4 linked regions of the Diceros bicornis minor genome follow. The protein of the gene in region 3 purifies or fractionates together with the protein of the main gene of each other region. This does not show direct contact. Links are inferred from orthologs where the notes say so. Each region holds a gene or a part of one and is shown on either strand. Other genes may lie near its edges. The genes, in order: MTMR12, SBF1, MTMR2 and MTMR10.

The links.
Region 1: the proteins of MTMR2 (region 3) and MTMR12 purify together in Homo sapiens (affinity purification with mass spectrometry; 5 studies listed by BioGRID and IntAct, with this or other methods). This does not show direct contact. The link is inferred for Diceros bicornis minor from reciprocal best matches to the Homo sapiens genes MTMR2 and MTMR12.
Region 2: the proteins of MTMR2 (region 3) and SBF1 purify together in Homo sapiens (affinity purification with mass spectrometry; 6 studies listed by BioGRID and IntAct, with this or other methods). This does not show direct contact. The link is inferred for Diceros bicornis minor from reciprocal best matches to the Homo sapiens genes MTMR2 and SBF1.
Region 4: the proteins of MTMR2 (region 3) and MTMR10 purify together in Homo sapiens (affinity purification with mass spectrometry; 5 studies listed by BioGRID and IntAct, with this or other methods). This does not show direct contact. The link is inferred for Diceros bicornis minor from reciprocal best matches to the Homo sapiens genes MTMR2 and MTMR10.

What each region holds. Positions count from the first base shown.
Region 1 is NC_080759.1:35,993,771-36,001,183, reverse strand, and holds the start of MTMR12 (myotubularin-related protein 12), read right to left. Parts: upstream 3,029-7,413; 5' UTR 2,938-3,028; coding exon 2,857-2,937; intron 1-2,856. UniProt on the Homo sapiens protein: Acts as an adapter for the myotubularin-related phosphatases. Regulates phosphatase MTM1 protein stability and possibly its intracellular location. By stabilizing MTM1 protein levels, required for skeletal muscle maintenance but not for myogenesis.
Region 2 is NC_080764.1:329,944-338,170, reverse strand, and holds the start of SBF1 (myotubularin-related protein 5), read right to left. Parts: upstream 3,087-8,227; 5' UTR 2,980-3,086; coding exon 2,925-2,979; intron 1-2,924. Other genes in the region: protein ADM2, read left to right, coding at 7,848-7,939. UniProt on the Homo sapiens protein: Acts as an adapter for the phosphatase MTMR2 to regulate MTMR2 catalytic activity and subcellular location. Promotes the exchange of GDP to GTP, converting inactive GDP-bound Rab proteins into their active GTP-bound form.
Region 3 is NC_080746.1:38,064,712-38,072,530, reverse strand, and holds the start of MTMR2 (myotubularin-related protein 2), read right to left. Parts: upstream 3,081-7,819; 5' UTR 2,706-3,080; coding exon 2,626-2,705; intron 1-2,625. UniProt on the Homo sapiens protein: Lipid phosphatase that specifically dephosphorylates the D-3 position of phosphatidylinositol 3-phosphate and phosphatidylinositol 3,5-bisphosphate, generating phosphatidylinositol and phosphatidylinositol 5-phosphate.
Region 4 is NC_080744.1:78,609,094-78,616,563, reverse strand, and holds the start of MTMR10 (myotubularin-related protein 10), read right to left. Parts: upstream 3,178-7,470; 5' UTR 2,909-3,177; coding exon 2,849-2,908; intron 2,256-2,848; coding exon 2,195-2,255; intron 1-2,194.

The sequences.
Region 1 (7,413 bases), on a different chromosome or scaffold from region 3:
TACTAGCTTTACCGATTTGTAACCCCCTGGGCAGAGTTCACAAAATATAACCCAAAGTCCTAAATTACAGTTCAGGATTTTAACTTTCACATTCACTGATTTAGGAGAATCAATGACAGAAGAGCCTTAAGTTACTCTGGCAGAGATCCAATTTTAAAAGGTGGAGTTAACTAGTACCCCTCCTTTTAGGCTGTCCAATGCCAGTTGCTTCTGATCGCAAGAAGGAAAATAAGCCATTATGTTGAAAAGCATCATTTTTAAATACTTTATCCAGTTAAGCGCTGCTGTTTTTAATACAAAGTGCTGACTCTTGATAGACTCTTTGGCATATTGAAGGCAGCTGCTGTTGAACCTGCCAAGATCTGATCAGCCAAGAACAAGATCATCAGCAGGCACAAGTACCGTAAGGCACATTGCACCGTAAGGCGTGAAGGTTGTTCTGGCAGCTCAGTGATCTACGAGGAAAAAGGTCGACGCCTGCAACTTCCCAGTTAACAAGAGAAAAGCGCCTACAAAAAAGTGATAGGAAGACATACAGCACAGGCAGTAAAGATGAAGACAATATGTGGGGGCTGGCCCCGGCCCGGTGGCTTAGCAGTTAAGTGCGTGCGCTCCGCTGCTGGTGGCCCGGGTTCGGATCCCGGGCGCGCAGGGAGGCACCGCTTCTCCGGCCACGCTGAGGCCGCGTCCCACATACAGCAACTAGAAGGATGTGCAGCTGTGACATAGAACTATCTACTGGGGCTTTGGAGGGAAAATAAATAAAATCAATTAGAAAGAGAAAGTAATTGCAGAAATTATATATAAAAAAAGACAATATGAGGGATAGGAATAGAATGACAGTCTTCAGAAAAGTGTTCTGAGGGACTCCTCCTGAATGAGCCCAGAAGTTTACCAGACCCAGTGCTCTCAGATGCACAGAAGCTACGCCTCAAAGCTGCTCACATGCGTTTCCAATAACGTGATCACTAGCAAAAGCTATATATTTAAAAACAGACTTTCTCACCCCCTTGGTCCCTTATCTTTTAAAAACCATTCACAATTCAGGTCAGAGTCTTATCCTCTTACAAAATATTTTTAGAGACAGATTACAACAAAGAAGCATAGTGTCTACACAGCATTATTTTATTGCAAGCAAACAAAACTGCCAACTATAAGGATCTGAAAAATCTGACCATTTCGAGCTTATTCTGGGGCTGAACCACTCCCCTTCCCTAATTATCCCTCAAAGGAAATATATCAGGAGCTGTGGGCAAAGAGAGAAAACATGTCTAATTACAACATGTGCACTTGGTGGATGAAAAATTTGAACATTCTTGAACTCTGGCCACATTTCAGAGGACTTTCCACTTGTAGTTTAATCACACTGAAAAGTTTAAAGTTCAGTTGTACTTCAACCAGGGCTCAATAAAAAAAAATACAAAGAGAAACGGACCACATTACTTACCCGTAATACTATAAGGGAAGTCTGCTGAAAATTCAAGATGACCCTGACTCCTTATCAAGCATTTACAGAGTAAGCAGTTTTTATTTTAAAATTAAGACCCATTTCAAGAGTAGTCTGCAGTGGAGAAAACACACACATTTTGAATTTGAAAATACATGTGCAAAGCCTTCAGGTGGCTTACAGAAGCAGTCCCTGATCAAGACCTTTCATCCACAGCCCATTTGCTGGTGCTTTACCCAGATGGGAAGACACCCTAAAACAACGAGTTTGGTAGTGCTTCTGCACGTTGCTGATTAAAGCACTGGAGAGAGGAGCAGAAAAAACCTTCAGGAATCGGAAATGAGAACACTCTAATTAGGCATTTGGATTGGGAGCTATCGCTCAAGAAGCCCTCAGCATGACCTACAGGTTGGAACCTCTCCCCTCACCCCGTGAGCAGCTTCTGCAGGGCTGGCTTCCTTGATGCTCCTCCAACACTCCAGACTCTTCCCTCAGATCCCAAGCATCCTTCAAGTCTTGGCTCAAACCACCGTTGCAAGGAGGAAAAAGGTGCCTTTTCTTTTCCCACGATACTCATCACCTAGTACACCATGTAACTTACTTACATCTATTTCATCTATTATTCACTCCTTTCTCCCTCAAATAAGTTCCAGGAGAGCAGGGATCTTTGTTCACTGATGTATATCCCAAGCGTTTACAACAGTGCCTGGCACAGAGTAGGAGCTCAAAAAATATTTTCTGAATGAATGAATGAACCTGACAGTAAAACTCCGAGAGGAAAGGAAGAGGCGGTGGAAAGGGTGATGGTGAGGGGCTGAAATGAAAGGGGGAAGAAGCGACAGAGGGGAATTCACAAGGGAGAGGTAGAGGCTGGCTGAGGCTGGGCCCGACCCACAGTTTCTCCCTGCAGAGCCGATGGGCGGCGGGCGGCGCTGCGCGGTACCCCGCCAGCGGCATCGAACAGCACTCTTAGAAGCAGGCAGCCGAGACCGGCGAGCTCTGAAGACTCGCTGAGAAACTCCAGGGGCAGGGCAGACCCACCCGGGCGGCGGGCTCTGGGCAGGCCCCCATGGGGGTCCGGACCCCCCAGCCCTTCCCCTCCCGCGGTGCCCAGAACCCCAGCTTCACTCCAACGTGGTCAGCGGCGTCCCCGGCCGCGGCACCTTCCCGGCTCGGGCCCCCTCACCTGGTCGCCAGCGAGCCGGGCCCTGCGCTCCAGCACCTGCCTGCCCGCCCGGGGGTCCCCACCCCGGCCCGCGGGGAGGCCCAGAGCGCCCCTACGGGCCCCACCCGGCCCGGCTCCCCTCCTGCACACGGCCAGGAAGAGCTCGCGGCCCTCCCCGCGGCGGGGAAGGGGCAACCGGCGCCCCTCGCCCCGGCCGCTCCAGCCCGACGCCCGGCCCGCTCACCTCGGGGCGTACGTACGACACGAAGGAGGGCTTGGGCGCCTTGGTGCCGCCGCCACCGCCCACTACCCCTTTCCCCAGCATACCGCCGCTCTGGGAAGCAGCGACGCGCGGGAGCAGAGGGGGCCACTCGGGCTCCGGCAGCAGCGGCGGCCACCAGCACTAGCGGCTGGGGCTCCGCCCATCCCCAGGGCCGCGGCGGCCACGGCGCCGCCCGCATCCGGCTCCGTCGCTGACACCGTTCGCCCCGCCCCGTGGCCACGCCCACTACGCGCAGCGGCCGAGAGAGCCGGGAGCCGGCGTCTGGAGGCCACGCCCCCTCCGTTCTCGACAGGCGTGTCTGAGCGGCGGAGACTCGCCCTCGGAGATAGGCTCCACACCACCCTCCTGCCGCAAAGCCCGCCCCCATGCATTCTCTGATTGGCCAGAAGGCGCGGCCAGCCGAGCCCCACGCCAAATCCCCTCTTGAACGAACCCGGACAGATGTTTCCTCTAACCAATCGAGAGAGCGTTCTCTCCGGACTCCCCGGCGATTGGATAGCAAGAATGTCGCCGTCATCCAGTGATCCTGCGGTCACTAAGTTGTGACCTGTGGTTCACTGCACTCCTCTTCTCGTTCTTTATCGATTTGTAATAAAACTTCCAAAAGTGTGGTGTATCCAATCTCGCTGTATGAGTTACAAATCCACACAATGACGTTCGGGTTTATTATATTAAATGGAGATACAAATGAGACAAACCAAGTGTTAACAGGGATTTAGCAATAGGTTTGAATGTTTATAAAAGGCCTTGTCGACTTCATTTTCCCGAACTGTTGTTTGTTTGTTTCTAACAGAATATCAAAAGCCCTAAAAAGATTTTTTATCCACTCTCCCAAGTTATCGATAAAACCTTCGCTTTTAGTGAAGATTGCAAAGACAATTTTTTAAAATTCTTTGTTTAAATTATTTAAACATTTGGCGTCAAGCATTGTGTTAGACGCAGGTGAATAAGACAGGACTCCGCTCTGAAGAAATTCAATCTAGTGGAAAAAACTAAGTATTTGCAGTTAATTTTTTCGGTGTCAGACACTGTGCTAAGCATTAGCTTCATCAGTGACTAATGCTCTCACTGTCTCCATTTCCATGAGCCCCGCCACCCGAAGTCACTCCAGATAAACATAAAATCTAAATGAAAACAAATGTGCTTACTTTTGCAACCACAGCTTCAGGACAAGTCCTGTAGCCTCATTTCTAACTAGACTGCCATTGTTAAGCCTATCTAGCATAGCCGCGCTGGAGCTGCCACTGAGTGAATCCCAGTTTTCACGTCAGAAAACAGATGCAAGGAATTTGCCCAGGTCTCACAGCCAGTCACTCACAGAGCTGGGATTCCAGCCCAAGTTTGTCTGATTCCAAAGCTGAAGTTCTTAACATTATAATTATACAAATTAGGAAGGAGCACAATGAAAAAGTGGTCAATTCTGTTTGGGAAGGCCAAGTCAAGCTTCAGAAAGATAGACACTCCTTACAGAGGTGTTGAAGAATGAAGTTATTTGTCGGGACTAATAATATCACCTTATATTTAACAGCAATTTTACTTCTCAAAGTGAAATGGCAGGGCAGATTCTTATAGTCTGAGCAAATTTTTACTTTCTTACTTTTCAAAGGACTTTGAATTTCCATGATCTTCCGCCATAGGCAGTATATGAGAGTGGATACCTCTGGCCAGGGCTGGCTTCTCAGGCATGCAGCTAGAGCAGTCACGGAGGGCCCGTACTGAGAAGGGCTTGGGGTTTAATGCTCTGCTGTTGCAGCCTTGAAAATCTTAATCATTTTATCTTTGAATTTGTGTTTTTTAAGTGAAGTTTGAGGGGCTGATGGAGCAAGCCCAGGGGTCTTGGAGCCTCAGCTCCTGCCAGTCTCACCTCCCATCCTCTCCCCACCTCCTCTCAGGTGCCCAGTCCCCTGGCACCCTGGCCCTCCCCAGCAAATCCCAGGACTGCGGCCAGCCTCTGTCGGGGCAGCAACTGTACCTCATTGCTGGGAAGGGGTGAGGGCAAGTCTCATATTCTGCCATCGCCATCCACCCTTTGCCCACATGGGTGCCTGGGCACTGACTAGGAGATGATCAGAGTCAGGCACAGCCCCCCAACCCCTTCCTGTGTCTCTGGGTAGGGTAGGCAGCCATCCCTACCCTAGGCTGGCAGCGCCATGGCAACTAGCCAAGGCCTCTTGTCCACCCCTGTGCAAATATCCAATGTGGCCAGGTGCAGAGGCTCCAATCCCTTGGGGGACGCCCATTCACTGTGGGAAGGGGATTTGACTTCCCTGCCCCCAGCCAGGACCCCACATTTTCATTTTGCACTGGGCCCTGCAAATTATGTAGCCATCCCTGCCTATGCCCTTTATTATCTCTGTGTGCTTGAGCAAGTTACTTCATCTCTCTGTGCCTCTGTTTGTATCTAGGATGATAGTAATAGCAATAATAATTATCTCAAGGTGGGTGGGGATTGCTATGAAGAGTAAATGTCATCCAGGTGATGCCTGGTAAGGAGCAAGAAATAAATAGGTGATGGCTGTCCTTAGTACAATCCCACCAAGCAGGACATAATTTACCCCTTTTGGGGACTATAGAAAGAGAAGCAAAGTGACTTCTCCCAATAACCAGCTGAGGGACTTTGTTTAACAAAGAGGTTTTTTTTTCTTTGCTTATTTGTTTTTGTTTTTAACTTCTGGCCCAATCCTTGGACTAGAAATAATGGCTTTTATTTATAATTCACCACACCAAATTTCCCTCTCTTCAAACCATCCTGTATTATAATAATTACTTTATCCTGCTCTTCAGTATCCATTTGTGGTTAAGTTGGTTTGCATTGCGATGATTCTGGAAACTTGACACAACCACTGCATCCATACACTCTCAGAAAACTCTGGCAAGGAAGTGAGACAGGTTTTTAAAGACTGAATGGCCAGCTGCTTCCAGGGGCAGTTTTGACTCAGTGATGAAAATCCACACTTTCAGGCCGGCCCCGTGGCTTAGCGGTTAAGTGCGCTCGCTCCGCTGCTGGCGGCCTGGGTTCAGATCCCGGGCGCGCACTGACGCACCGCTTCTCTGGCCACGCTGAGGCCGCGTCCCACATACAGCAACTAGAAGGATGTGCAGCTATGACATACAACAATCTACTGGGGCTTTGGGAGGAAAAAATAAATAAATAAAATCTTTTAAAAAAAAAAAAGAAAATCCACACTTTCTTTAAGGAGCAGTAAGGAATGAGGACGAAGAATAAGCTAACATCTGTTTCTATCTTGCTCTTAAGAATCTCCAGCTATCATCATATTTTTACTTGATCTTCAGAGTGTAGGTCAAATCTCCTTGGGAGAGTCTCTCCCAACTGATTGAAAAATTCCTGTCATGCTGAGGTCAAATAATTCTCCATCTATTAATAAACACAGATGGTAGCCCTTAGACTTTGGAATATTTTAATTTACACATAATAGTTTTAAGGTCACTCCTTTCTTCTAACATCGCCCTACGCTTTCTTGGAGAATTATAAATAGGAACAAATCTTAGCTCACACAGAAATGAGTGCCAGACCAAAGGCAGCGTCGTTTCCTCCCACAGACAACTGAAACCCACAGCACACTCCCAGATGGGGGAAGCATTGTCCTCATGCTGATAGTTAGGCCTAGCTATTTAGATTTCCTCCTCTTTGAAGTCGCTTGAAGCAGCCTACTTGTATGCGTTGCTCATCTCGTTCTTTTTTTTTTGGTGAGGAAGATTGTCCCTGAGCTAACATCTGTGTCAATCTTCCTCTGCTTTGCATGTGGGATGCCACCACAGCATGGCTTGACGAGCAGTGTGTAGCTCCACACCCGGGATCTGAACCCATGAACCCCAGCCATTGAAGTGGAGTGCGTGAACTTAACCACTGTGCCACCGGGCCAGGCCCCATGTGTTGCTCATCTTTATCTAATAGATGCCAGGTGCATAGTAGGAATTCAATAAATATTTGCACCTGAATGAATGGGGATTAAATGAAAAGCAGTCTGGGCATCGATTGATTAGTAAGCAGGAGAAGCATCCAGGTTAGAGCCTGCACTTTTTTTGTGTGTGTGTGATGAAGATTAGCCCTGAGCTAACATCTGCCAATCCTCCTCTTTTTGCTGAGGACGACTGGCCCTGGGCTAACATCCGTGTCCATCTTCCTCTACTTTATATGGGATGCCACCACAGCGTGGCCTGACAAGCAGTGCATGGGTGTGTGCCCGGGATCTGAACCCGGGCCACCAGCAGTGGAGCACACGCACTTAACTGCTATGCCACGGGGCGGCCCTAGAGCCTGCACTTTTACATCACTCAGATACAAAGCAGGACCTGATTTGAAAATGAATAAATAATATGCATAATATATTATATAATAATAATAAATATAATTATATAAACATATATATGAAATATTCAAGGACTAAAATGCAAGTGTTATTTACTGGCCACTTGCCAAACCTCAATTTTAGCAAATGGTCCAGATCTGAAGACTTAGCCCTGTTCTTTCACTAGAAATAGAAAATTTCTTAGCCT
Region 2 (8,227 bases), on a different chromosome or scaffold from region 3:
ACTGGGAGCAAGCTGAGGCCATCTCAAACAGCCCCAACCTGCTCCAGAAGGAGGGCAGAGACAAGGGTGGGGAGAGTAGACAGGGCCCAGGAATGTGGCCAGCTCAGCACAGTCAGGACTGAGCGAGGCCAGGCCAGGCATGGAAGGTCTTCTCCTCAGACGCTGGAGAGGCAAGGGGGTGACTCCAGCATGGAGGCGTCCAGCCTCTCCCCCGGCAGACATGCACTCAGCCGCCTGGTCAGGTCAAGTGCATCTCTCCCTCCTGAAGACACACCCTGGCACTGGCCATGCTGTGTTAAATCAGCTGACCACTGTCAGGGCCCTCCAGGGCCAGGAGCTAGGCACGGGTAGTCTGTCTGGCCCCTGCAATGTCCCCAGGGCCCGACCCAGGGTGCAGAAGGTGCTAACCCCATATCCCTAGTGAAGGAGCTCCCCCTACTCACCCGGGAAGGGCCTGCATCCTCTGAGATGAGGTAAGTCCCGCCCGGCCCCCTCCCCACCCTCCTGCCGGGCAAGACCCACCAGGTAGTAACCACGAAACTGGACGCTCCCTCAGGCAGGACTCTGCACTCAGGCCCTGCATCCAGCAGCTCCGGACAGGATGTCCAGATCCAGGCCAAGGACGACAAGACATCCACCACTCCTACCCCCGCCACCGAACCCGAAAGACCCCGCATCCCTGCTCTGATATCCTAGGCCTGCCAGCATGCAGGGGTCCCCCACTGTGTCTGTGCCCAGCACGGGAGGGCTGTGGGACTCATCCATCTCCAGATGAGGAAACCAAGGCGCAGAGAGCTGAAAGACTGGCCCAAGGCCACAGAGCTATCAAGCGGCAAAGCAGGAACCGCTAGCTGCCCACCACGCCCCCACTACCGGTGCTCCTCTTCTTCAGGCTTCCCCCCACCACCTGGCTCTGCCCTCAGCCCCACGGCCAGGGCGCCAGCCTGAGGAATTGTTCATCACAGGGATGGACGAGTCCTGCCAAGGAAGGCCCTGAGGCTGGGTGGCCAGCCCACAGCTGACCAGCTCCAACCCTGGAAAGCAGTGGTTAGGTGGCTCCATGGCCCCCTACTCCTGTAGCAGCAGACAGCTTGGGAATCACTCCTTCCCACCACTCAGGGTGAGCAGGCACTGCGGGCTCCAGCCTTCTCCCCCGTCCTGCTCAGAGGCCACACACCCTGGGGTATCCACCATACATGTGGCTCTAGCAGAAAGCACACACATGGCACAGGCAGCTTGTCATGGAGCCCACCCATGCCCCCTCTCACTTACCTCACATTCACCCTCAACTCCCCACTCCTACTGTCAGTACCATCAGCACGCCTCTCAGCTGGCCTCTGCCTCCTCAGACCCTCCCCAAACTGCCCTCAGCATCATCAGCCTCCAAGCCCGCTGTGCTCATGCCCCCCAGGGGCCCTCACACTGGGGCAGCCCCTCCGTCAGCCTTGTTTCCCTGGACCCCGTGCGCCCCTCTGCTCCAGGTGGCATGGCCTCCTCACTGCCCCCCAACACGTGCCTTGGAGCCGACAGCTTTCCCTCCACGGGCCTGCACAACACTGACAGTGAGCCTGCCCCGTGCAGACTGGGGGATGAAGACGACTGGTCCTTGCCCGCAAGAACGACTTTTCTGGAGGGAAAGATACACTTACGACTGAGAGTGTCCAGGGATGGATGCTCGGACAGACGAGAGCAGAGAGGAGGAACAAGTACTGAGTGAGAGGGCACTGAGGAGGGTCTGGAGTGTACAGGGCCCAGCAGGTGGAGGCTCAGCAAGAAAAAAGGCAAAGAGAAAAAGTCCGGGTCCTGGATGGTGACAGTGGCGGCTGGGCTGACAAGAAGCAGGGTAGACTGGGGGGCTCACCCTTCCTTCAGGCTCAAGGTTCACCCCTAGCCTGACCACACAGCCACCCTCACCTCTACCACTGACACCCACTGCCCCCTTGCAGTTGGGATTTGAGCCCAGATCTTGGCTCTGGGTTAGCCTGGGTGTGAATCCTGGCCCCTCTGTGGGGGCTCAAACCAGGCAGTCAACCTCTCTGCCCTGACTCCGCTCCACGGATGCAGGCAATAGCAGGCAAACCTCGGCGGGCTGCTGGGAGGAAGAAGGGAGACCGTGCACACACAGGGCTGTGCAGGGCCTGGCACAGTGAGCACACTCCTCAACACTGCTGTCTCCACGACTGTTGCTGATGTCATTGTCAAGCTCCGTTCTCTCCTACCCCCTGGGTTGAAGGGGCTCTCAGACACAGGCGCTGACCCTAGACAGGACCTCCTGGACATCGGCACCAGTCACCACACTGGCTTGCAGGCATGAGGACGGCAGGCCCTCTGCCAGGAATGCTCTTCTTCTCTCTCCTCCCCACATTTCCTCCTGAAGTCCTCCGAGTTCCAGCTCAAACACTACCTCTTCGTAAAGCAGTTCCTCAATCCCCTCCTTCTTCTGCATCCCACCAAGCCTCCTGGACCCCAGACGCCCCGCACGGGGCCTGAGGCTTCAGACAGAGGTACTGGGGGTCAGAGGAGGGGCGTGCACGAACGATGGTGCCCCTGGAGGCAGAGGCACCCGGCAGTCGGCCAAGGCGGCGAGAGCCCATCCCACCAAACTGGGAGTCCGGAGGCCGAGCCGCCCAGGGCCCTCCCACCTCCCAGGCCGATGCCAAGGAGCTGCCAGACCCGGTTCGGCCCTGAGTGTGGCGGGGAGGCTCGGCCCGCCCTGTCTCCCCGCCCTGTCCACCTCGGGCAGGCCGCCCCGACCCCGACCCCGGGCCGCCCCGACCCCCGACTCCGACCACGGGCCGCCCTGACCCCGACCCCGGGCCGCCAGGTGCCCGGACGACCCTTGCGCTGGCCGGCGGACCCTTCCCGGTCCCCGGGCCCGGCCCTCAGCTCTCAGCTCTCAGCCACCGCCGCGGGCTGGCACTCACCGCGCGGGTGCGGCCCGAACGCCACCAGCACGAAGTAGTCCGCGAGCCGCGCCATGGCGAGGGGCGCGGGCGGGCTTCGCGGCTCGGCGACGCGAGGGTGGGGCGCTCATGGCCCGACCCTGGCCCCGGCCCGCGCACCCCGGACACCCCGGGCCCGCTCCTCCGCCGTGGCCAGGGCTCCCGCCGCCATCTTCCCAGCCAGCCGGCCCGCCCGGCCGCGCCGTGCGCCTGCGCGGCACCGCCCCACCCTCCCCGTGGGCGGGGCCCGGGACGGCCCGCACCCATTGGTCCAGCGGCCCGGGCTCGCTTCCCGGGGGCGGGGCCCCGCCCATCTCCTCCCGCTCCGGGCCGGGGCGCCGCCCCCAGGGAGGTGACAGCGACGGCGGCCCGGACGGGTCAGCGACAGGCACGGCCGCGGTCGGAGCTGGCCTCGAGCTCGGGGCTCCCACGCGCGGGCGCAGAGCGGTCGGGGCGGGGCCCTGGGCTCTCCCCTAGCGCTGTCAGTCTGGAGGAAGGCAAGAGGGCCCGGCCCTGCCCTCGGGTCTCCAAACTCAGGGCTGCCAGCTTGGCGATGGGGGACTACCCAGGCCCTGCCCTTGGGGTTCCCAGCACGCTTGGAAGCCCCATCTAGGTGGGTGACACATTCAACACATGTCCATGAAAAAAGGCGCGCTGCATGTCCCGCTGTAAAGAGCCCTGGTGCGCTGCTTGGGAGAAGGCAGGATCCCTGACAATGCCCACCCTCAAGGACAGCGCCGGCCAGGGCCTCCCCTGCAGTGGCACAGGGATGGGCAAAGGGGACACAGAGCCTGAGACAGAACACCTAGGAGAGGAGCTTGGGAGGTGGAGGAGCCTCAGGTTGCCCCACTGACATGCTGGGAGGGAGGGTGGCAGGGTTGGGTTTGTGTTTAGAGTTTGGCTGCTGCAAGAACCGACGAAGAAACAAACTGCTGACAGCCATGTTCCGTCCCCTTGCAGGAGCCAGCCCAAGAGAATGAATGAAACTGAACCCAGAGACAAAAGCTGAGGGAGAGACCTTGCCAGGCTCCCCTCCCTGCCCCCGGGGGCAGGCCTAGCCACAGCCTCCTCTGCTTCTATTGGCTGCTGGGTACACAGGCTGAGAAACCTTCCTTTTTGCCCCTGGTGTCCTGGGTTGGTTTCTATCACTTACACCCGAAAGGTCCTCCCCGCCGCATTACCACACCATTGAGCTTGAGCATGGGCCGGCAGTGTCCCTGGCCAGTCCTCTGGCCTGGCACCTGAGCCCAGGACTGGCTCTCCCCCAGAAACTGTGGGGACCCTGCACCCCACCTCCCCCACCCTCATGCCCTAAGGATCCCATTCCTTGCAGCTCTCTGGAAGTGCCTTAGGGTCAAGGGGAGGTTTGGGATCCCTTCTAGACCATGATAGCCCCCACTCGAGTTTCTTGCCATTGAGTTCCCTGCCCACTACACTGCCCAGGTCACCCTCCGAGGTGCTCACACCTACCTGCTTCCTCCCCTTCTGGGGACTGTGCCACTCCCAGTGCCTCCTCTCCTCCCAGCAGTGAATGACTCTCCTGGGTCCCCTGGCCTCTTGGCTTCCTCCTTCTGTCCTTTTACCCCCACCCATCGTGGCTCCCATCGCCTGTCATCCAGCCCATGTCGTCGGCCCCCACCTCTCTGGCTTTGTTTTCAGTGTTCTCATCAGGCAAACCGAGATGGAAGCTCCCCTCACCACCCAGCCTGCTGACGTCTGGTCAGCTCTCCTCCCGTCTGCAGTATCCTCTAACCTCTGACCCCACCTCCTGTGTCTCAGAGATGACCCCACAGCTTCACAGAGAAAACAGAAGCCATCCAATGGAAGGCCTCGTGTTGCACCACCAAACTCCAAGCCCACCTCCCTCACACTCTACCTCCTCCCTCCACAATTACCATCGAGGCTCCGCCCCGCCCGACCTCCTCCCCACCTCTTGCTGTTTCCTATCAACACCCCCATCCTCACTCTTTCCCTATTGAGGGACCCTTGCCATCAGGATTAAACTCAACCTCTCCGGGCTGGCCTCATGGCTTAGAGGTTAAGTGCATGCGCTCCGCTACTGGTGGCCTGGGGTTCAGATCCCAGGCGCGCACCGACGCACCCCTTCTCCGGCCATGCTGAGGCAGGGTCTCACATACAGCAACTAGAAGGATGTGCAACTATGACACACAACTATCTACTGGGGCTTTGGGGAAAAAAAGGAGGAGGATTGGCAATAGATGTTAGCTCAGAGCCAGTCTTCCTCAGCAAAAAGAGGAGGATTAGCATGGATGTTAGCTCAGGGCTGATCTTTCTCACACACACAAAAAAAGAAAACTCAACTACTCCCACCTTAAAACACTCAAGCAAAACCTCCCTGGATGCTGTTTGCCCCACCAGTTGACACCTAGCTTTTCTTGCCCCACAAGGATTTCTCTAAAGCATTCCTCCAACATCACCAGCACCGCCTGCCTCCTGTGGCCTGGTCCCTCTCACCAGCCAACCTCTGGTCTATTTCTTGTGAGCCGTTCCCGGCAGCCAGCCCATCACCACCTAGAAGCAGCTTCTCCAACTGAAGATACATGAAGGAAATCCTTGAGTTTCCCCTTGAAGGGTACATGGACAGTTACAGACAAGCGCCACGAGAGGTGCTGTTCAGGGGCCTGTGGGACCACAGAGGGGGCCCCTAATCCAGTCAGGAGGGGCAGGGGCAAAATAAGCAGCCAGGCTTAAGCCTGAGGACCAGAGGACATCCCGCCCACGGGCAACCAGGGAGGTGGGACCACAGGCCCACGGTGGCAGCAAGTGTTCCGAAAGAAAGAATGTAGTGAGCCACGGGCCTCGAACCTCCCTGAGGCTCCCTGAGGCTCACCTCCACGTGTCCCGGATTAAAAACCTCATGGACACAGGGAATTTTGATTTATTTTTCCTTTATTGGTGGCGTGAGTAACATGATCACATTTGTGTTTTGGAACGTGGCACTGGCAGCAGTGTGGAAGACAGATTGAGGGGAGGTGTAGGGAGGCTGGAGAGAGGAGAAGCAGCTGCAGAATCGGTCCTGCCTCTGTGTCCTCTGCGCACCCCCTGCCCTACTTGTTCCTTCAGACCTGGCATGTGGGTTCTTTCCTCTCTCTGCACTCTGTGGGCGGTGCTCACCTCACCTCTCGCCTCCCAGAGCCTTGCCATCTCTGAAACTCCCAAAACTGTGTTCCAAGTCTGCCATCTCTTCAGCCGCAGGCCCACGAGGCTGGAACCTGGCCAGACACCTCTGCCAGGATGTCCCCCAGGCAGCCAACCCCTCCTGGCTCTCTCCAGCAGCTCCTTGCATCAGCAAACAGAAGGGCTGACCCTGCTCTGCCTCCCTACCCAGCTCAGTTTCCCTCTGAGCCGTCCACTCTGTCCCCATGGCACGCCTCCTGCCAGCCCCGCAGCATCCCCTCCCTCCTGAACCCCACTTTTCTGATATAAATGTGGTCACGTCACTCTCCCTCCTCCCCCCACTGGTAAAAATAAATAAACAAACAGAAACAGGAGTATCTGCCAATGCTTCCCCACCTTCCTCAGGATGTAAACCAAGCTCTTGAGTATGGCATGCTTTCAACACTTGTTGATTTATTCATCCAGCAAATGTTTATTGAGCTCCCATGGCGTGTGCGACAGGAGAGTGGCCAGGTCACCCGGGATGACCTGACAGAGGGAGCAAGACTGGGCAGGGTTAGGCAGAAGAGGAAATACAAATGGACACAGAGATGCCCAGATGATCCAGGAAATGTCCACTAAGTGGGGCGACAGGATAACTGTCCCCTCTCAGATTGACAAAGAAGCAAGGAACTACTGACACGAAGTCTGTCATCCGCTGACAGTGGATTGGTGCAAGCTTTGTGGAGAACAATTTGACACTACCTGTTGACACAAACACAGGCTCACCCTCAACCAGAATTTCCACTTCTGGGAAAGTATCCTGTAGAGAGACATCTGCGAGCTCACAGCAGACGGGTTCTTACTCTTGGAAGGCTGGAAATCGCCTAATTGCTCATTAATAAAGGATCAATTAAGTCAGTCACAAAACACTTACATACTGGAGTCAGCCAAGCATAAGAAAGAATGGAGGGCTCTATGATTACGTAGATTCTTACCTATATAAGCATATATGTGTTTATGTAATACATGCAGTACACACACAGGACGCCCCTCGCGTGTCTCCAGCGTACACGGGAGACAGGAACGCGGCGCCCGCGCAGATCTGGGAGAGGCAATGCGGGGTCTCACTTTTTACTTATTTAAATTTCTTACAAAAACCATTTATACTCCGATAATGGGAGAAAAAAGGTAGAGATGCTTAGGAATACAGCTGCTAGGGGATCTTGAGGAGGGGTCTCGAGATCGCCTCGTGAGGAACCCTCCCCAGAAGAGATACTGGCCAGGGCCCCGGGCCGACATTTGCGGGTCAGAGAGGTGGCAGGCGGGACCGCCCGGCTGCTACAGCCCCCAGCACCCACCCCCTCACCCGGACAGGTTGGGGCCCCCAGGACGCGGGACACTGAACCTCAGCGGAGCGCCGTGCAGCCGGCCGGGCTGCAGTCCACCCGCGGCAGGGCTGGGTTGGGGGCCGGGGAGGGCGCCCCGCCCAGCCGCGCGTCGGCCCCGCCTCCTCAGGAGGGACTATTTAGCTCGGTGGAGCCGAGGCTCCATCCCCAGTTGGACCCCGACAGCGATCTGACCGCGGAGGCCTCGCCCTCGCCCGCCTGGCCCACAGTCCGCAGACTCTCGCCCGCTTCTCGCCCGCGCCCCGCACCCCGAAGGACGCAGGTACAACCTGCGCGCGGCGCCCACCGCGGAGGGCTCCCCAAGGTGAGGGCAGAAAGGTGGCTTGGGCTAGGGCCGCCCCACACCTGCCGGCTCACGCCCCCTCCAGCCCCGCCCGCCATGGCCCGGCTCCTGACCGTCACCCTCGGTTGCATCAGCCTCCTCTACCTGCAGCTCCCGGGCACGCTGTCCCGGCGGCCCGCCAGACCGAGGTGAGTGGGGCTCAGACCAGCCTGACCCCTGGCCTGCAAGGCAGAAGACCAGAATGCCCAGGGAGGTCCCCTCTGCCCGCAGCCCTCCCCAGGCCCCCCACCCCCGGGCCTCCCGCCTGCTGCTAGTGCTTACCTCCGAAATCAAAGACCAGCCTCCGTGCCTTCAGCAACCTCTGAGCAGGGCAAGAGGCCCCTCTTTCTTTTCCTCTTTTCCTGGGGCACCCGCTTCCCCCACTGTTAGAGCAGACCCCTCAACAGGAGAGATCAGCTAGGAGAGAGGGGGCTGGA
Region 3 (7,819 bases):
CTATCAAAACAAATTCACAAGGCAATTTCCTAAATGAAAATTGAAAATTTCCTAATTGTATAAAACAGAAAGCACGAAAATAAACTACAATTTAAGGGGGATATTTCTGCAAAAAGCTGAGATAATATAGTTCAAACACAGTATTTTGCTTTATCATAGGCTAACAAAACAAAAGTAGAAACTTAATCTAGATAGCCACTTAACGTAGCTATTATAACCATGGTTGTGTATTACACCTGGCCTGTTATTAGAATCACCTGTGATTGTTAGGCTACATTAAGTTTAAATTTAAGCTTTCTAACAAGTGTCTACAATGCAGCTATTCTATACTGTTGATTAAAGACAGTGCCATAAACAGGTGTAATAATTCATGAAATAAAAGATATGAAAGAATTTAGCATGGTAAATTCTTTACAGCAGACATTCAATAAATGTTATTTTTCTACCTTCCAGAGGAGAGGAATGAAAGCTGGCATTCTCCTGTGGAAAGGAGAGAATCATACCTACATTTTTGTCTAGAGAGGCTGAAACTAACATACTGTAGTCAAAATTCAAGTTCTTAATTTTCTCAAATTCACATGTCAATAACATAATTTTTTACTAAGAAGTTAAAATACATATATAAACTTTAAAGTTGCGGGACATTGTCTTTTTTAGAAAATAAATGTGCTTAAGTGCAACAATTAGGTACATTAATTTGTAATGATAACATTTATTTAGTGTAACTTCAAAAATCTATAACAAAGGTTATTTGTAAAGGTAATATTTTAGTAATTGATAAGAATGCATTCATCTTAGTAAGTATAGTCATTAAGATAAAGAACGATAGAATTTTAGAGCTCCAAGGTGCGTTACAGATTTTCCAGATCAACCCCTTTATTTTAAAAGATGAGAAAACAGCAGACTAGAAACGTTAAATGATACAGGCCAAATGGCTAGCTGATCCAGGGACTTGAGAACCTGAGCCTCCTGACTTCCAGTACTTTCTTCTTTCTAGCAGACTGTGCTGCCTCCTGTGGTTCTAAATCTTCTCGCTTGGATGAGAATATTGGTTGCCTCATTTGTTTTCTTTACATTCTACTCTGAACCATAGCTGGCATTTGTAACTTTCTCATAAAATTATAATTTTCCAACGTGTTTTCTGAATGATTTTACAGCTATGTAAATCCTCAGCTTTCTAAATTTCAGAGTAATAAACACAAAATTCAAAAAATACTTGAAACAAATGTACAATATACATAATCAAATTCAAAGAAAAATTCTTCTCTCCTGGATAATTCAACCTACAAATTCAAAATAACACTATTGAGCACCTCTGACATGCAGGGTCTCTGTTAAATGCTGAGGATATGAAGATGAGTAAGATACAGTCCTTGTCCTCAAGTAGCTTATAGCCTAGTAGAGAAGACAAATCAACAATTATACTGTGCTTGTTAAGGACTCTGAAAAGGGGGTGGGCAGGTTGCTATGAGTGCATATAGGAAAAGAATCTAATTTAGATTGATGGCATCAGCTAATGATTTCCCATCAGCTAATGAATCCCAAATAGGGATTGCTGTTCCCTACTGAACAGTAATAGGAAAAATTGGCAGTATCACCCATATTTAGTGGAGTCCAAAATTAATTAAAGGAGACAGTGCAACTTTTATTCAGGGGAAAAAATGAAAATTGTGTGTGTTTTCGCACCACAGCGTAGTATCTAATAACTCACTAATAAAAATTAGACTTTTTCAGAGGAAAAGAACGTGATTTCATTGTTGCTATATAACAGTTACAGGTCTTCTATTATTCCTTAATAAAATTTTAAATCATTATTTTAAAACCAAAGAAAAAAACTGCATCTAAAACATGTCTAGTTAATATTTACAACAGCTCTCTGCGATGCTGCATACTAAAGTCCTCCTCAAATTTCCAGGAAAAAAATCCCATCTGCTACAAGAGAAATAACCTGGAGAACCGGTAACTCAAGAAGGAAGAAAACTACCACTCATGATTCACTATGCACTCGGAGATAAAGACTACTGAGATTCCTAGATAATGACTTTCAACTGAAAGATCTAGAAAAGAAACGCACAGTGTGTATTTTTATATACATTTTTAAGCAAAGTTGGTGGTGGGCCGAATCAGAGTGTAGGGAAAATCTTGAACGATTTCCTTTATGGAAGTGAAGTGATGAAAAAGAGAAGTCAGGGTGGGCAAGAATCCAAAAGGCAAAGACACAAGCATGGATGGAAGCAAGACTAGAGGATGGTTTTGAAAAGAGTGGTAGAGAGAAAGACAGGGAGGAAATGGGGGAAGGGGGAGAGTGGGGGAAGGGCTGTCCAAAAAATGATTTAAGAGGGAACGAAAGATAAGAGAAAGTAATGAACTGGGGCTACCTCAATGGGGATAAAATAATATCTCAATACGAAAGGTAGAGGAGGCGATAAAGTAGTAGTGAGTTTTAACCTTCTTTTTCCCAGCCTCTAAGCCCCTGCGAGGAAGAAGTAGCTTTCAAGTCCCAGGGAAAGAATTCCGGCGCAGCCTTTGGAACCAGAGTCCGCGAGTGGGGGCACCATCCAGTGGGCCCCCGACCCCTCTCCATCCCCCTCGGACGCTGGGCGGGGCCCTAGGTGTCCTGGTTACCTGGACAGAGAATCCACGCTGGGCGGCCGTGCTGCCGCCGGCTGGGAGCCAAGACTCTCGCAGCTCGAGCTCTTCTCCATGGCGCGGCGGGGGCAGCGGGAGGGAGAGGCTGAAGCGACCTCCGCGGCTGCGGGGCGGGAGGAGCGGAGGGCGGAGTGCGCCGGGCAGGAGCCGCGCTCAGGCCAGTGCCGGCCCGGCAGGGAGACCGGAAGCGGCCATGTTCCCCCAGACTGCACCGCGCCCGGGGCTGCCGGGGAGCGGGGGGACCCCGCGTCGCCCCTCAGACGCCCGCCCCGGCGCGCTGTGCGCGCTGCGTCCCGCTGCTCGGCCTCTGGGCGCTGGGAAAGGGAGGTGACGGTTCCCGGCGTGAGAGGGTCTTATGAGGCGGGAGGGACGAGGGACGAGGGACGTGTGGAAGGAGGGGAAATTTTAGATATGAGAGAGGAGTAAGAGAAGAAAGAGACGAGGAGCTGAGGGACGGAGACGATGGAGACCGGAATGTGGGGGTCAAGGAAAGTGAGAGCGCAGGGTAATAAAGGAATGTGGGCGAACAGTAGGATGAAGGGGCAGAAGGGACGTGAGGGGGCGGTGCGTCACGAAGGGAGGAAGAGAATTTAGGGGCACGTAAAGGATGAGGATATGGGAGATGAGATCGCAAAGTGTTCACCAGATTAGGGGCTGAAAATACTGATTCAATAAATATTAATTAAGTAATGATTAAAGGCTGCTTTAGAGCCAGTCAGACATGGATTCAAATCCTGCCTCTGGAGCCGGCCTTGATGGCTTAGCGGTTAAGTTCGGCGCCCACCGCTTTGGTGTCCCGGTTCAGACTGTCTGTAGCCATGCTGTGGCCGTTACTCACGTGGAAGAACCAGAATATATAACTATGTACTGCAGCTTTGAGGCGGGCAGGGGAGAGAGGGGAAAAAAAAGGAGGAAGATTGGCAACGGATGTTAGCTTAGGGCGAATCTTCTCCTGCAAAAAAAAAATACAGCAAATCTCTGCCAGTTACTCCCAGTTTAACACAGGGCATTGAAAACATCAACTTCCTTATCTGTAAAATAGGAAGAGGAATAATAGCTTCACAGATCAGATGAGTTAATACATGTAAAATGGTTAAAGCGATGCTTGGCACATAGTAAGCACTCAAATGTAGCTATTAGCATTACTGCCTACGTCGTAAGAGTTCTTAGGATGGAATGGACTGATGTATATAACAGTTTCTAACAACTTCAATAAAGGGTAGCTGTGGGAGCGGAAGACATAGGAAGGGTGGCAGAGAAGTAAGGAATGATTGGTATGGGAAGGGTAATGGGGAAAGTATAGGACAGGTAGGGAAAAAAATTAATGCTCATCATTTTTATTTTCATTCCACCCCTGGCCCAGCATTGTAGAAAGGGCACTAGAAAACAAGCTGAAACTTTCAGTCCTACTGTGACTTGGATTGAAGTCACTGTGGTCTGGAAGTGTCCATAGGGTAAAAGCACTTGGGCGTTAATCCATGGTCCACACAAAGAGGTATGGAAGAGGAAACAGGGGAGGGAACTGATAAATAGGCAAAAAAGTAGACACGCAGACTACTGGATGCAGTGGTGTTGGATAGAGGGCAAACTTTTAACAATCTTTCCCTGCCCTCTCAAATTCTCCTGCAGAGCAGGAAGGGAGGGTAGAGGGATAGAATTGTGATAAGAGAACAGGAACTGGGTGAAGGGGAAATGCTTCTGCTGGTAATTTTCTGTTACAGAGGATACAGGAAGGACGTAGAAAGGATGCCGTAAAGAAATTTTTCTGATTAAGACTGAATCCCAAGCACCTGAAGTATGGGGTGTAAAATTATGCAAAGATTATTTCTGTAAACAATTAGACAAGGAATCATTTTTAAAAAACTTTCTTGCTGGGATAAATAGAATTATGTTGATTTAAACTAGATTTAATTTATACTGACAACTGATATCTTTAAGAAAATCTTAAGGTATAGGGCCAGTGAAATATTGACTTGCAAGTACACTCCCCAGAAGAACAACCCAGCTTAGTTGTGTTCAGCATAAACTAGAGTTCTTAAAATGAATGAATGTGTGTTTAAGCACAAAAGGCTTAGCCTTTCTCTTCCATTCTCCAGCTTGGTAAGGACAGGATGGCAAACAATGGTTTTTATTTGTGTAATTTTTAAAGAGACCCAATCCTCTGATAGGCAAAGAGAATAAATAGAAACACTTAACAAGCATACACATCTACAGTGATTCGGAAAAGAATTTGTTTATTGCTTCCCCATCCTTACCTGCCTTCCAAAATGCTGACTGCTACCTGATACTTTGACATAGATTTTCCAAGTTAAGTTTAGTGAAGACTGATGAATCCTTGAATGGGAGACCCACGTACTTGCTATTACCCAGTTCATTTCTAGCGCTGTCTTAGTAGAGCACTTGAAACCACATGCCTGATGGTATAATAATTTGTGTGGGTCTATTTGGGGCTTAATAAAGAACAGTAATGTTAAGTGTAGCGACTTTGAAACCAGATGTCTGAATTGGAATCCTGGTTCTGTCGCTTACTTGCTCTATGATTTAGATTAAGTTGCTTCTCCAAGACTCAGTTTTCTCATCTCCAAAATGGGAATAAAAATATAATCCACATAAAGGGTTGTTTTTCTCTACTCTGAGTTGATTGCACAGTAGGCTCTTAGTAAATGGGTCTGTTGCTATTATTATTTGTTCTTCCTCTGAGCTTACTGCTTTACTTCTAACCTAAATAGTAAAACAGGAACTTCTCAGAGTGAACAAGCAAAGACTATTTTAATCTCAGCTCAAAGCTAAATTAGTACTGAATTCTTTGCTGACATATTGGCTGCTATGTTGTATACCCAAGAGAAATCAACTTGATTAGGACTTTCTGTACGTCAGTTTTCTCATCTTTTAAAAAAACATTTTAGCCCATCCCAGGTCATTCAGGAACTATTGCTATATTTAAATTACAGTCTAGGCTCATCTCTCCTATTAAATGATTAACTTGAGACCTTTCCAAGTTATTTTCTTATTTGAAATCTAGGCTAATGTTTGTCAAATTATCAATGGGAAGAACCAGTGTTTTTGTTTTTAATTTCCAAGCTATCACCAACCAATACTTTTTTAAAATATAAAAATTAATTACTAGAAAAATGAAGTTTAAGAAAAACCAAAGGCATGCAAATACAAGGCCACATTTTTTTTCTTATATTTAACAGATATAAAATTACTCTAAAAGTTGCATGAAAGTTTGTAAACACACATTCTCAATTCTGTCCTCATCTCATTATAGACAGGCAACACATAGTTCATGTAAGACACTGGTTAGTGGACACAATTTGAGTGGCACTGATTTGGATCTATAGGTTTGTTGCCTATCAGCTTGTCAGAGGCTGTTTACTAGATAATCTGAATCAGAAAAAGGAAACTTCTCTTGAGACAGTAAAATGGTGGCTTATGAATAGACAAGTAGAGGGATACTTCTGCTTCTCTTAAACCACATATGCCAAAAACATAATCCTTGGAAAGATCAAGCATACATAAACTTTATAATTAATTATTTCTATCCAAAAATTTAATTTTTTGATTACTTTCGTTTGGAGAGTTCCTTTTCTAGTATGGAGAAGTAAGCTCCTAACAGACTGACCTTTCCACAGATAACAACTATGAACTAGACAAAATACAAAAAAACAACTACCTGAGGAGTCAAGAAGTGAACAGAAGCATGCAGAGTCAAAATGTGCAGGAGGTGACCAACACAGAGTGAGTTTTCCATTTTTGGTGGCTTTGACCTATGGACAGACCAAGATTGTGGTGCAGTGCACAGTGGCAAAAACTCATATAGAAAGCCCACCATCTCTCGGGCCTGAGGAACCAAGAGAAGGGAGTGCAAGGCAGCTAGAGAATGAGGCAGGAATTCCAAAAGAGAGAATCCAGGAGGGGAACTCTAAACTCTGTGTCAATTCAGATAGTCTCTGACTAAGCCCTAATTTGATTTGAATAATATAAAGGCACAATGCATGCAGCTCAGATAAAAGAACCAAAAATAGAATATTCTTCTGCTCTTCCACATAATAGAACTGAAGCAGGATTTGAGTTGTTACCCACTATAAGCAAGACAAAATCTTCAGTTTGTTTCGCACCAAATTAATTTCATGCTAAACAAAAGCATCAATACTTTGCAGAGGAAAAAAACAGAATCCGGAGACTCTAAAACAATATTCGTAATGCCAAAGACACAATTCATAATGACTTGACATAAAAAGTACTAAGAGGGGCCGGCACAGTGGCGCAAACGGTTAAGTGCACGCGCTCCGCTGTGCGGCCCGAGGTTCGCTGGTTCGGATCCCAGGCGCGCACCGATGCCCTGCTTGGCAAGCCATGCTGTGGAGGCGTCCCATATAAAGTAGAGGAAGATGGGCATGGATGTTAGCCCAGGGCCAGTCTTCCTCAGCAAAAAGAGGAGGATTGGCAGATGTTAGCTCAGGGCCAATCTTCCTCACAAAAAAAAAAAGTACTAAAAAAATGGGACCTATTCTCAAAGGAAAAGATAACAAAGAAAGGCTACATTCCAGATGACACAGGTGTTGGAATTATCAGACAGTAATCTCAAAGCAGCTAATATAACTATGTTCAATGAAGTAAAGGAAAACACTGTAATCAATGAAAAGATAGTAAAACCCAGCAGAGGAATCAAATACATTAAAAAGATACAAATGGAAATTTTAGGAAAAATACAGTACCTGAAATAAAAAGATTCACTGGCTGAGCCTAATGGCAGAATGGATTTAACAGAGAAAAATGTCAGAAACTAGAAGATAAATCAATAGAAATTATCCAATATGAAAAAGAGAAAAGAGATTGAAAAAATATTAACAGTCCAAGGGATGTACGTGTAGGACAATATCAAAAGGTCTGATATACAGATAATTGAAGTCCCAGAATAAGTAGAAAAAACTAGGCAGAGAAAGATACTATAGCCAAAAACTTACCAAATTTGACCAACAGCATAAATTTACAGATTCAAGATGCTCAGCAAACACAAAACAGGATAAATACAAGGAAAACCATGTTTAGGCACATTGTAATTAAACTGCTGAAAGCTAAAGATGAAGAGAAAATCTTAAAAGCAACTGGAGAAAAATGATACATTACATATAAGGGAACCACAATTCTAAAGGTCATAGATTTC
Region 4 (7,470 bases), on a different chromosome or scaffold from region 3:
AAAGCCACAGGTGACCTGGCCAAGTTTTCTCCTAGTTTCTGATGGTAGTGAAGGCCAGAACCATATTATTAAGCCCTCTTAGTGAAAGCCCTAACCTAGCCCAGGTCTTCAGATCAATACTTCAGTTACTTTCCACTTGTCTTCCAGATTTCATGGGTAGAGTAGTAGGCTGCAGGCCAAAGAAGCAACAGAGGTTCTAGTGGTAGTCAGAAATGCGACACGAGAGGTGAAGCAGGAAAGAGAGACCATGACAGAAAGAAACCAGGAAGAGTGTGGGAAAGCCAGGATAAGAAGGTCAGAACAGAAGGGGTCAGGAAGGAAGGCAAAAGACACACTAATTTAGGATTGGTTAAATGTTCTATAAGGAACAGGTCAGGTGCAAATAGAACTTGGGGTGCCAAAGCCATATGTATGCAAATTTAGAGCCAATGCAAGAAATTTAACACAGGTCAGAAGATGCAGATTTAGCTGTGATTTCTAGTACAAGTAAACCACTTATGCTCAGGAAATGGGTTTACATCTTCCCCAGAAACCTCTGATTTTTAGTAGAAAGGTAAGTTTTTAGTTAATTCTACAGAACAGATAATCCTTCATTGTAAAGTTCTTCAAGCTGATTGATATTTAGTAACACTTTTCATAAGCATATTTTAAATATAAAAATTAATTTAAAAAAATCAAGCATTATCATTTGTAGCAAAGACCATGTTGTTTATTAGTGTCAAATCATAATATCAGAAGTGTAGAATCAAAGCCTAAGAACAGGCTTGTTCAGACAAAGTAAAGGAAGCCAAAGCTCAATAGCTCACAGGCATTCATTCAAGATGAGCACTGCTTCCCACAGCTGACTTTCAAATGCCTCCAGTGACTAAGACTCAAACAGGACACACACAGGGAGCAAAGGTTACTTATTAATTCTATTGTTCACTCTGAGGAAAAGTACAAGGATTACTCCGTACACACTGATTGGGTAAAAAGCATTAAAAAAATCAAGAGAAAATATTTATACCTAACTCCTATAATAGAGTTTAAAACAACTTTTAAGTAGCATCTATAACATGGAACCACAGATTGATGTTTTTAATGTGTCTGTTCCTACTTAATACTTAAAATTTTAAAGCACAAAATTTAAAGTTTCTATATTTGTTTAATTACTACCCATAAAGTTCTGATCATTTTACTAGATTAAGCATTAAGTAATGACTGATACTTTACAATATTGATAGTAGCCATACAAACTGGTATTTGATTATATTTCAGGTTTAAAACAGGCTTTCCTAAGTATCTGGCTACTTCCCCCAATAATCATAGTAAACAACGGGCTTTTTCTAATTATTATACAATTGTTATACAATTCAAAATACCAGTCAAATAATATTTTTATATGTTTTAAAACTAAACTCCTATCTACCCCCAATCCCCACCTCTACCTCTAAGGCCCTCTGAGGTAAATGTTGTTCTAAACCAGTGCTTCTCCACTGGGAGGAAATTTTGCCACAAACGCAAAAAAAAAAAAAAAAAAAAGTTCTGGGAACGTCTGGAGACATTTTGGTCACAACTAGGAGATGGAGAAGGGGGTACTACTGGTATCTAGTGAGTAGAGGTGCTACTAAACACCCTACAACAAAGAATTATCAGGTCCAAAATGTCAGTAGTGGCTCTGCTGGGAAACTCCATTCTAAACTGAAACAAGTAAATTTGCAAACACAGCTGACAACTTCAAAAAACAATTGGGAAGTAATTCAAAGTTCACTAAGCTCTGTTATTGGTATAGAGACACAGACAAAATAAAAGTTGCTTTTCATCCTCCCTCATAAAATGATGGTTTGACTATTAATTATTAATGCATGAAGTTGCAGACAGACATGAAGGGCAAAGAGTACTTTCACTACCTAAGCAATTAAAAAAGAACTTTTAAAAAGCTTTTAAAAAGACTATTTCAGGAGACAAAAAAGGAAATGAGATAGAGATATTCTTGACAGTTTTCTATGATGCTTAAATTTTCAAGGACATACACCAATTAATCATTACTTTTTAATGCTGTTGTTTAGTTCTAACCACCTTTTTTTGCCCCCTCAGTCGTTACATTTTTTACTAAAGTTTAAAGTAAAGAGAAAAGTTAACCACATGGTACTGGTCGGTAGAATAATCTTAAACCAAAACTCGTTACTCAAGTATCTGTTAGAAATCTGTTTACCTGGTAAAAGGACTGGCTCCAATTTTTTAATCTTCGGTTCCGAATCAATCTTATCGTCAGTCTGAAATACATTAGCAAAATAAATCAAAATCAAAACTTTTCCCTCCCATGAGATACTAAAGCAAATTTTGTTTTCTAAGTGACGATATATGTGACAGACACGTATTCCCCCCACTTAAATTCTTTCACATTTTTACCGAGCTCTTTTTAAGATCTGGTCATTATCGACTTGGGAGGCTGACAATAAAAATATTACAACTGCCTATGCCGCTTCCAGGTGTTCAGATTTATGACAGGTACGTAACCTCTTCTACCAGGTGCCCACAAGCGAAGCAGTCACGCTGGCGGTCACAGTGAGGACCGCCGCGAGGCGAAGAGCTAAATCGATCCAGCTCCCTTGGGTCTCATCACGCGGCAAAACTAAGCACCGTAGGTCTTCAGGCAGAGAATGGCTGCGGCAGTCTTACAAGTTTCTACCGAGCCAGTGGGGGCTCCCGAGAAGGTGCGTTTCCCCGCGCCGGGGCTCTGGCAACCGCACGGCTGGGGACAGGGAGACGGGGTAGCCTCTCGGGGTTCCCCTGCTCCCCGGGGCCGGCCCGGCGGCTCCCCGGAAACACCAAGGAGAGGGGCGCTCGCAGGGAGGGGGTTGTTTACCTGGGGCGGCGGCAAGAGGTAGGACCTGAACGTGGGTCTGGGAGGCTTGAGGGAGAACATGGTGCCGCCGCCTTTTCGCCCCGGCCGGGACGCAACCCGGGACCCACCACGGGCTAGCGGCAGCGCTGACGCCTCCCGACGCCCGCGGAGTCAGAGCTCTCCGTGCGGCCGCCCAGGCCCCGTCTGCGGCCAGCCGGGCCGGGCGGACTGACGGGCGGGGACACGGCGGAGCGCCCGCCCGAGCGGGGAGGAGCCGGAGCAGAGTCGGGCCGACTCGGGCGCCGGGGCCCATCCCCGGAAGGAGCTCGGCGCCCCGCCCCGAGCGACAGCGCGCGCAGGGCCGGCGGCCGGCCGCTCGGCGGCTCGGCCGCGCTGGCGCCCGGACGCAAGGCTTTGCGCGGTGCTCTCGCTGCCGGGACTTCAGCGACGGCGCCGCAGGGAGCACAGCCCGGTAGCCATCTTGAGAGCTCAGCCTTGGGAGGGCGCGTCTACGGCGGCCAGCAGGGCTCACGGCGGCCCGCGGGGACCTACGGCGGCCCGCGGGGGCCACGGCGGCTGCGGGAGGCTGCCAGCCACTCTGGCACTGGGCACTGTGTGTAGCGACTGCCCAGCGGTTCTTCTCAGGCTGGGACAGCTCCATGGACTGCTGCTCGTTAGTTACCCAGCTCGCGCGATCATTGCTGTTTTAAGTCGTTAGGAGGAGCCCGGAGCGGGGAGAAGGGGACTCTGGCGCCCCGGACTCATCCAGTCACACTGCGCCCAGTGTGTGAGGGCCCGGCACCGGGAGAGTGGACTGGTGCAGCCAGCAGTGACCGGGATCAAACGTTCAGCACGATTTGTACTGCATGTGATAAAGCCCCTTAAAGGTCCCACATTTGGGGAAGATTTTCTTCCATCACCTCGTCTGTTGTTTTTCCGCAAAGCTTTGAGACAGGGATGTCCTACCAGCTGAGCTGACTGCTGATTTCCGCGGGATGCGGAGACTTGCGTGGGCTGTGGGGACTATTGACGGATGACATTGACAGGCAATCCAGACTCTTCAATTTAGTTTATGACTTCTACCCTCCTTATTAAAACTTAATGTGAAAAAGATATTAAGCAAGTTACCTTCCTTTCTTTTCTTGCCCATCCTCACATGTAAAGATACTAGTGAGCAAATAAATGATCCAAGCCCAGCAAGAGTAAGGCCCTAGCGCTGGGGGGTGGGGGGTGAGGCGCGAGGGAGTCTTCAATAGCCTATGGACCGAATAATCTGCCCATTAATTGCAAAGAACAGACGAAATTCAGCATATCAAGGACAGGGCATTTCAGAACTCTTAACATATTTCTGAATTAGAGCAGCCTTTGGGGGAAGGGGATTAGTGACGTTACATTTTGGTGATCTGTTAGTTGAGACTAGATCCTTCTTATGCTTTGAAGAATAAAACCCTAACCTAGCATTTTATAAATAATGTCACAAGGAAGCTCCAATGTGGCCATACAAATCACAACCATACTGACAAGTGTTGCTAATGGAAACACCAAAAAACTTACAGATTCAAAAGATTGCTTTTTTCCTGAAAATAATTTATCCTGGATTCAGAACGCTGCTGGTCTTTCTGGTTTACTTGTTTGAGTGACACATGATTCTATTTTGCTAGGGAACCACAATTGTGCTTTTAAAATGTTAAGTCCATTAGGTGGTTATAGGTGTTAAAAATGCTGTTGTGCACATACATTTTAAAATTTTTATGAATAGTCTGTGATTTCTCTACATAAAATGGATTTTTAAAAAAAACTCATAGAAAAAGAGATCAGATTTGTGGTTAACATGGGGCAGGGGGCGGGGGGCAGGGGGTGGTGGCAGTGGGTGATTGGAGAAAGGTGGTCAAAAGGTACAAACTTCTAGTTACAAGATAAATAAGTGCTATGGATGTAATATACAGCATGATGACTATAGTTAACACTGTTGTATGATATATATGAAAGTTGTTAAGAGAGTAAATCCTAAGAGCTCTCATCATAAGGAAAAAAACCTTTTTTTTCTTTTTTTGCTTTCTTTTTTTATTGTATCTATAAGAGATACAATATTTGGGAGGCTAAATAAATTTATTACGGTAATCATTTCACAATACATGTAAGTCAAACCGTTATGCTGTACACCTTAAACTTATACAGTAGTGTATGTCAATCGTATCTCAATAAAACTGCGGAAAAATAAATGGATTTTTTCCACAAGTGGAAAAAAGCAATATGTGGATATTTCTTTATACTTTAATGACTTACTATGTGATTTGGGTTTTGCTGTACAGGTTTTCTTAGGATCTATAATGCTAATGTGACCATACAGTTGAAAAGTAGAAAAACTCTGATTTCTAGATTTGTTACTGACGTAACCCTAAATATTATGACACTTTCAGACATGTAACTGTATTCGTCTGCTTGGGTTGCCATAGCAAAATATCACAGACTAGGTGGCTTAAACAACGGAAATTTATTTCTCACAGTTCTGGGGCCTGGGAAGTCCAAGATCAAGGTACAGGCAAGGTAGATTTCTGATGGGAGCTCTCAGACTGGCTTGCAGACAGTGGCTGTGTCTTCACAGGTGGAGGGAGAAAGAGAGTGTGCTCTGGTGTCTCTTCTTATAAGGGTGCTAATCCTGTGGGATTAGGATCCTATGACCTCATTTAACCTCAATTACCTCGTAGAGGCCCTATCTCCAAATACAGTCATGTTGGGGGTGAGAGCTTCAACATACAAATTTTGGGAGGACACAGTGCAGTCCATAACACTAGTCTTGTAGCTTCTTCTCATCCTGATCTTCTTGACACTCTGTATTTATGGAATAGTTGACTATTCCCTTCTTTTGGCACTATTTTGTTTTCCTCCTATTTTTCTGACTCTGTTTCCATTATTGGTTCTTCTCTCATGGAGGATAGTGACATTCCCTATGGATCATTTCCTTTTCCCTGTGAAAAGAAAAAAAAGAGCTAACATTTCTTGAATGCCTATTAGGTGCTAGGTACATTATATATTCGTTCATTCAGTTACCAAATTTGTATTGAGTGCTAACTTTGTGCTAAAACGATCCAGACCACTAAGAAGACAAAGTTCCTACTTTCCTGGCATTTTCATTATGGGTAGAAAGATATAGAAAAATTAATGTATAACATGTGAAATGGTAACAAGTGCCAAAATAAAACACGAGAAGGATGAGAGTTCTATTTTTTGATGGGAGGTGGGGTGTGGTCATGGAAGGCCTTTCTGATAAGGTGACATTTGAACAGAGGCCAAAGGGAGTCAGCTGGAAATCAGGAGGAAGAGCATTGTGGTCAGAGGGGATAGCAGTGCAAATGCCCTGAGGTGAGAGCCTATCTGGTGTGTTTGAGGCCAGTGGGTGAAAGCAGCCTAATCCAGTGTGAGAGGAGGTCAGAGAGAAAGAACAGGCCAGATCACATAGGGCCTGAAAGTTAAGAAGCTTTTGCAACATTTTGAGCTGAGAATGACACGATCTAACTGACAATTTAAAATAATCACTGCCACTGCTGCAGTGGTACAGCAGGGTGGACGCTGGGAGACTAGTCGGGGCTATTAGAATAGTCCAGACAAAAGAAGCTGCCGGTGGTGAAAGTGGAGGAGGTTAGAGTGGTTATGTATAATGTCTACAAAACTCTGCCATTGCCTGGGACTATTAAGCAATTTAAAAAATCTGTATCTTGGGGGGAGATTCTGGGAAGATGACAGCAGCAGCATAATTGTTCAGTCTCAACATAAACACAGAGAAAGCAACTATAAAGTAAAACCAGAAACCCCTGCACAACATCTACAACAAATCTAAGTGAAACAGTATCCCCATGATCTCCAATACGTAGGCAAGTGGGAGCAAAGTCCCATAGCAGTCACAAGACCTGTGGTATCAGCACAGGGAATCAGTGAGGCAGCTGGAGAACTCCAGAATAGCCAGAAGGTTTCCACTGGAAGGCCCAGCCGGTCAGGTTGAGAACAGCAGGTGAAATAGGGAGGGGTGTTTGTCATCTCCAGTAGCATGAGCCTGCAAGGGGCTCCTTGTATGCCCTGAAGGGACTGGAACAACATAGCTGTGGGAACTCTTGAAACTGACCTACCAGGGCTTCCTTAAGGGGCCCACACTGAGAACAATCGCTGGGCATGGAAACAAAATTGAGCCAAATAGAGACAGAGGAAAAAGAAGGTCTAGAGAAAACTGGAGGACCAGAAAATCTCCAAAAGTAAGCTGACTTAAAAAATTTTACTACTACACTAGAAAAACAGAAGAGGTTCTCTGTGAAGTTAGAAAAGCAATCCTGAAAATTGCCTCCTTCAAAAAGTTCCAGAAAACCAATTTCATGTAAAAATAAGCAACAGGAAAGTATGGAAGTCAAATCCATAGAAGACTACTATAATGAAAAAGAGAATAAGAATAGAATGGCACTTCTACAGACAATAAAAGCACAGCAGAAAGACATGTCCCCTGAGCAGATCAAAGCTGACAGCCACTATTGAAGAGACACTAAGAGAATGATATGAACGAACTATGTAAACCAGAATTAGCAACACTCAAAAGGAAATGAACAAACTCAGGATAGAATTAGAAAGAAGAGAAAAAATTATTTCAGAAATAAAGA